Linked DNA regions of Ovis aries. The protein of the gene in region 1 purifies or fractionates together with the protein of each later gene. This does not show direct contact. Links are inferred from orthologs where the notes say so. Each region holds a gene or a part of one and is shown on either strand. Other genes may lie near its edges. The genes, in order: SPSB4 and CUL5.

Region 1 (3,919 bases):
TACAAACAGGCAATGACAGAACAGTAGGATAAGTGCAAATAAATACTTGATCAATACCCCCTTCGGCTGTCCGACCAATGGCTAAACTGGTTTGTGAAGCATCCTCTTTTGCTTGGACTGTATCAGGAGTTCCAAGCTTGCTTGCCTCCATCCATTCACTCCGCTTAGAGATCTTTGGACAATGTAAATATGATAAGCATTACTTTGATTAAAGGCCTCAACTAATCTTGAGGAACGATCAAACTCTAGTTGACTTCCAAGAACCTAGCCACTGTCCATCCCTCCAGCCACATCTTACCTCATCGTTTGAAAGTGAAAGTGAAGTCACTCAGTCGTGTCCGACTCTTTGTGACCCCATGGACTGTAGCCTATCAGGCTCTTCCATCCATGGGATTTTCCTGGCAAGAGTGCCGAAGTGGATTGCCATTTCCTTCTCCAGGGGATCTTCCCGACCCAGGAATCGAACCCGGGTGTTCCGCGTCGCAGGCAGATGCTTTACCCTCTGAGCCACCAGGGAAGCCGCCTTACACTCCCGTATATACCGGAGGCTCCATGCTGTGATAGGTACCTAGACAGATGACCACCCTGTCCTTCTGTCTCCATGGCTAATTCATGTAGCCACCTCTATTAGGAAGCATTTCCAGATTGCCCTTCCCAGACAAAGCTGCCATCTGTTTCCCTAGGTTGAGTTACCTTTTACTTGTCTGTGTCCCAGATGAACCGGCGCTCTGCCCGTAGGCCGTTTAGTATCCGGCATAGAGAGGGCTGAGGTCAGACCAGATCACTGTGGAATGAACTAAGCTCACCTCTGGGAGCACAAAAGGCACCCAGACCAGTAACTGTCAATTTTCCAGAGAGAGCACAGATGCTACAAGCACCCTCTTGGCCTCCGCTCTGGCCACTCCCTCTTCCTCCGCTCGAGACGGGCAATCGGGCGGCCCACCTCCAGTCCTGGCAGCAGGCAGACTAAAAACACCTCTTTGCTCCTCGAGTGGTCGGGGGAAGGCTCCGAGAAGCAGGAGAGGTATGAAATTGGACTTTAGAAGATGAGCTGGAATCTGATCTTTAAAAAATAAAGTGTAGACACGCTCCTGAGGAAGAGGTCATTAAACCAAGCTCTTTCCCCGGCGCTATTTCCCACACGAGTTGGGTAAAGACAGCAAAGCTGTCGAATGACTGTGTGTATCTCCTCCGGCTCAGGGGCACCCACCCTGGCGCTCCCAGCGCGCTTGAATGAATGGGGGTGGGGGGGGGAGCGCATGAATGAGTGCGTGAGTGAGGGAGTGCGCGGGCTAGCGGGCGAGTGAATGGCGACCGCGCCGACTCGGCACGCGGCCGCGGGCTCCACTTCCCTCTCCCGCCAGCTGGTGGCCTCGGAAAGGTGGCGGCGCCGGCAGCGGCCCGAGCTGGGACGGGCCGGGGCGCGGGATGGTGGGGGAAGGGGCGTTCCCGGCGGCCGCGCCTTCCGCGGCTATTGGATTAGTGGCCTTCAGGGATGAGCTCAGCCGGATCGGCTTTCAGCTGCAGCCTCTGGGCCGGCCGGGAAGGCGGGGAGCGGGCGGCGGCGGAGGAGGAGGGGGAGGCGGCGGCGGCTGCAGCATCCAGAGCTGGCCGCGGCGGCCGGCGCGCCCCGTGCACAAAGACGCCCAGCCCCTTGGGGAGGGCGATGAGCGCACCGTAGCCCAGACCCGGGCCCCAGTTTCGAACACCAATGCGTGCGCCCAGGGCGAGGGGGAAGACGCCGGGCGCTCCAGGGGCGGGCGGCAGAGGCGCGGCCCGTGCGCCTTGAGCTCGGGGCTCGCCGCCCTCCAGGTCCAGCGCGGAGCTTAGGAACCGCTGGAGCGCAGGCCTTGGCGCGCCCCCGGGATCCGCGCAGAAAGACGCTTCCCCTCTCCCACCCGACCTCCTGCGCCCTCTCGCCGCGCTGGAGCGCCAACTTCCCCAAGAACGCTCCAACTCTGGGCCACCCTGCTGGGCAGAGGGGGCGCTGCTGCGGGGCTCTAGCCGTGAGGACGCGCCCCTGGCCCCGGGGAACAAGCCGGCATCTTCGGGGTCGCTCGGGCGCCCCTGAGCGGGTGGCAGCGGCCGCAGACGTCTCTCCTCGGAGTCCAGGACCTGCCAGCGCTGGCGATTCCTCCAGGGCAGGCGCTTGCCCTCTCTTTTATGGTGAGTATTCTCCATCTTCTGGTGAGAGGCGCGCGGGAGCCGAGGTCTGGCCGAGCGGACCTCGTGCGGGCCGGCACTGGCCACAGTCCGCGCTCCTGGCGTGCGTCCGGTCCAGATCCCCGGGAATTCCTCTCTGCGGACTGTGGCAATCCGAGCTGGCTGGTTTGCCTTTGGGCGTTTGGGGCTGGCCCCTGGTGTCATCGGTTCGAAGCCCGCTGCTTTTCTGCGTAATGGAGACAGCACAAAAAACTACCCCCCCGCCCCCGCCCGAGTCACCCTGCCTGGGTTTAGGTCCATGATCTGTCATTCACTGAATGAGTGACCTTGGACAAGGCGCCGAACCTTGATTTCTTCATCCGTAGAATGGGGGTGATAATGGTACCCTTTTAATAGGGCTCTTAGAAGCATCTATGGGGTGGTCCTCGTAATGTACGTAGACCTGTTCCTGACACATAAGAACCACTCGATCAAACGTTAGCCAGCATTATTATTAGCTGTGTGATCCCAAGCGTGTCATCCAACTTTCCGGAGCTGCAGCAGTTCTTTCGTCGATGTATTGGGGACAGTAATTTCCAGGAGTCTGTTCGTAGGGGTTGGGGGGCGGGGGCAGTTCAGCGCCTGGAAGTGAAGCGCCTGGCACGCAGTGGGTGCTGAAATGGGGGCTGTTGTTACTGTTTACTCTTGACGCTGGATAGTGAGGCTGGTCGCCCAGTCCGAGCGCTGCTTGGGGCCAGTTCCTGGCCTTGCTTGAAGACAAACTTGGCGATGCTTTGGAAGGGAGGGGGTCGCGTGCAGAGTGAGTCACGGGCAGGGGAGGGGGGTGGGGTCTGGGAAGAAGGGAGGAGGCCAGAGCCTGGAGCGCGGCAAATGTGTCCGCCCTGGTAGCGCAAGACGCGCCACGGGCTCGGAGCCAGGAGGGGACGCCGAGCCCAGGACCTCTTCCTGGAGGGAGAAGAGGGCTTGAGGGGAGAGTGGGGTGGGGAGTGACCACTCCCGCCTCCGGGATGGAGGAGCATGGGCTTTTCCGGACTGGCAGAGAGAGGAGGGCACTTGTGGGCCGTAGCGCTAGGAGATGGAGAGCGCTCTGGAATAAGGCTTGAGTTCGAATTCCGCCTCCACCATCAGCCCGCAGTGTGACCTTGGACAAGTACTCGAATCTTTCCCAGCTTAGTTTCCTCCTCTGCTCCAGCCTCCTCCTGGGGGAGTTTAGGGGTTGAAGGAGTTCTCTCCTCTCTAGGAATCAGAGCCTCCATCCTCCATCCACCTTCCGTCCTCCAGCAATCGATGAGCATAAATCAGGAAGACGTGCCTGAGCTTGGGGGAAACGCTGTTAAAAGGAGAATACGGGAGCTGCCCGCCCCTCCCCCCTCCAGGCGGTCGTTGCACCTAAGGAAGAAGCGCCTGTGCAATACATCTCTCCCGCCTCTCCCTCTCTTTCCCCCTTGATGCCCGTCTCCTCCAACCCAATTCTGCAGTCTCTGTCACTGAGACTGATGGGGGATCCTTCTTCATCCTCCACAACTCCATTTTTCAAAGAGTGCTGCTGATTAATGGAGTTTGTAGAAAGACACTGTGTTGGTAGCTTGATAGAAAGATGTTTGAGACACAAGACACCATCCTCCTGAGACACATAACCCTCTGATAGATTCCATTTTACAAACTTCCTTTAAAAGTACCAATAAAAGGAACTGACCACCTTAGGCAAACAACAAACAAAATTCTGCTTGCTGACCATTCTACTCAAATATCTCTC
Region 2 (2,823 bases), on another chromosome or scaffold:
CTTTTCAAGTGACCTCCAACATATTAAATGAGACCAGGGCCAGAACTCTTGTGATCTCTGTTTTTCTCTTAACAGCTCTAACACAGCCATCATTTTCACCTCTACCAAAGCTAGAATAAGAGAAATTAGAATATTTACAATTGTTCTTTCCGCCTTACTGGTTTCTGTAAAGTACAAGTGCCTGAAGGAAGACAGACTTTTTCCCTCTTCCTTCTTTCTCCCTGAACCCTTGACATAAACCCTGTGATCCAGAGTGTGGATTTGGACATACTGTTAGGAGTAATTCTTCTGACCTGCTCGTGGCAGTGTAGGAATTCTCATGTCTGTGCAGAGGAAGTTGATGGTATACTTTTCTCATACTGAATACTGCCTGACTCCCAAGCCTATTGCCTTGTAGCAAATCTCTGTTTTTTAGTGTTTAAAAGCAAATATTAACACATTTCTGTTTTAAACTTCTTTTATAATGAATTTTAATCTCCAGTAAGGCAGATGAATGCCTTTTGTTGACTAAGAAGAGACCTTGTACTGGAAAAGACAAAAGAGAAAATATTTAGTAATTTTCTAATTATCTATATTATATAGATTAATAGTAATTAAATCATCAAGGAAATTATTAATAAAATTGACTTAAATGAAAAGTGCTTACTCCTCCAGAAAGTTGAACCATTTAGTCGAGTCATTATAAACTGAAGGTACTTGATAATAAGTACAGCTCATTAATCTGATAAGTATATAAAGAGTAGTGATTGTTAATTTTTAAAACAGAGCAACTAAAGCAACTGACTGCTACTACTATGCAAAGAAATAACTGTAAATACAAGGGGAAAAGTATGTAAAAAGGGATATGAGTAATTTTGCTTTTCTTTATTTTTCAGAATATCCATAATATGCAGATTTTGTTTTCCACAGTGAAAAGAAGATACTTTTGTTTGTTACAGGTCTCAAGGTTAATCCAGTGATTGCTAATCATTTGGATAGATGTTGGATAGAGGATAAAAAACATTAAAAGTCATTTTTCGTTTTGTTTTACTTAAAATAATTTAATACTTTATTTTTATTTTTTCTTTTAGGAAGCTATCATACAAATAATGAAGATGAGAAAGAAAATTAGTAATGCTCAGCTGCAGACTGAATTAGTAGAAATTTTGAAAAACATGTTCCTGCCACAAAAGAAAATGATTAAAGAGCAAATAGAATGGCTAATAGAGCACAAATACATCAGAAGAGATGAATCTGATATCAACACTTTCATATATATGGCGTAATTTTGAATATCATGGACAATATTAAGAACCCAAATTTTGGAGTGCTTCGGCAGAAAGTTCTTACAGTTTGTGCTAGGGGAAGGTTTAGTTGGACTTCGATTACATAAATATTAAAATCTCTGCCTTACCTAACAAAACAACTATATTTTGCCAATCACATTAGTTAGCATGGTGGCATTCCTTTCATGTTGCACCACTCTGTTTTAACAGCATGCTGTTTTGTGAGAAACTTGCATTCACAAAGAGCCCATTATGAGCTTTTAAAATCCTGGTTTATACCCACCAGAAGAAATAACAGTTGGGAGGGTGAAAGTGGGGTTCTTGTTGCCTTTTTTTTCCTTTTTTTTCTCCTGTCTTAGAAAAATGTATTTGCACAAGGAAGGATCTTCAGATGTTTGTGCACTGAAAAATGCTGTTATGTTTTGTTTTTGTTTTTAAATTCAATTAAAACTAGAAATAGCACTCTTGATTTCTTTTGATCAAAAGAGTGAGCTGGTCTACACAACATTGGGACAGGGCAGATATAGATGAACAGATAAGTATTTAGTATTATCATATGTTCAAACACTGCTTCAGTATAACAACTGGATTTTAGTGGGGACTTCAAAGTGATAGTAAATTTTTCCAACTAAGAAATGTTGGCTTTCGTTAAGCAGGAGACTACTGTTTTAGTTGTTCATTGTTAAATGGAGTGGTTTTTTTTTTTTTTTTCTAATCTTATATGGCCAGAGAGTTTGTTTTGAAAAAGTGAAGCTCATATTATTATTTTAGTTGTTTAAAAAAATGTATGGAGATAGATCATTTCAACTTCAGAGTCAAAAATAGCAAAACTCGCATATTAAGTGTTTACTAAGACACTTAATATTATATACCTAATATTTATTATGCTACACTCAAATTCATTAAAAAATAAGGCAGAAATCTCCTGCTTTAATATAATACAATTATATAACTGACCTCTTAATCTGTAGCATAGAAATACTTTGAAGTTTTAAAGTCTCATTATTAGGGATTTGTAGCCTCAGGTTTCTGGAAAGGAAGATATTCTGTTTTAAAAAGTAATAATTATCAGTCACCTACGAGGTAAAGAAAAACCACAACATAGACCTGAAAAGCATAAGCAGAATTGTTGCAATCTTAATATGAACAATAAACTTGCCAAATAATATGTATATATATATATTTATATATTTTGAAAGTAAGCATTTAAATAATGTTCAGAACCAACACTTAAACTTCTTTCTTTCAGTCAATCCAAAGTAGCAACTTTTTAGTTGCTGGCAACTGAATACCCAGAGTAATGGAGATTTTAGGACTTGAAGACATGAACAACTTAAAAAAGGAAAACTTATTCCCCACTGGGAAAGAATGGCTCAACATGGATTTTATTCATTGTGGTGCCCATTTCAAAACTTTTCTTGCAAATTATATTTTATTTGACATTAAGTAATATTTTAAATGATTTTGATGATAGTAGAAAATGAAGTGCCAGTGTTGAACAGCATACAGTATTATTATTGCAGAGTGCTTTTAACAGCATTTCATGGAATCTGTCCCC

What was found.
Region 2: the proteins of SPSB4 (region 1) and CUL5 purify together in Homo sapiens (co-immunoprecipitation; 4 studies listed by BioGRID and IntAct, counting the BioPlex papers as one, with this or other methods). This does not show direct contact. The link is inferred for Ovis aries from reciprocal best matches to the Homo sapiens genes SPSB4 and CUL5.

What each region holds. Positions count from the first base shown.
Region 1 is NC_056054.1:248,507,720-248,511,638, reverse strand, and holds the start of SPSB4 (SPRY domain-containing SOCS box protein 4), read left to right. Parts: upstream 1-1,544; 5' UTR 1,545-2,166; intron 2,167-3,919. UniProt on the Homo sapiens protein: Substrate recognition component of a SCF-like ECS (Elongin BC-CUL2/5-SOCS-box protein) E3 ubiquitin-protein ligase complex which mediates the ubiquitination and subsequent proteasomal degradation of target proteins.
Region 2 is NC_056068.1:17,395,553-17,398,375, forward strand, and holds part of CUL5 (cullin-5), read left to right. Parts: intron 1-1,070; coding exon 1,071-1,265; 3' UTR 1,266-2,823. UniProt on the Homo sapiens protein: Core component of multiple cullin-5-RING E3 ubiquitin-protein ligase complexes (ECS complexes, also named CRL5 complexes), which mediate the ubiquitination and subsequent proteasomal degradation of target proteins.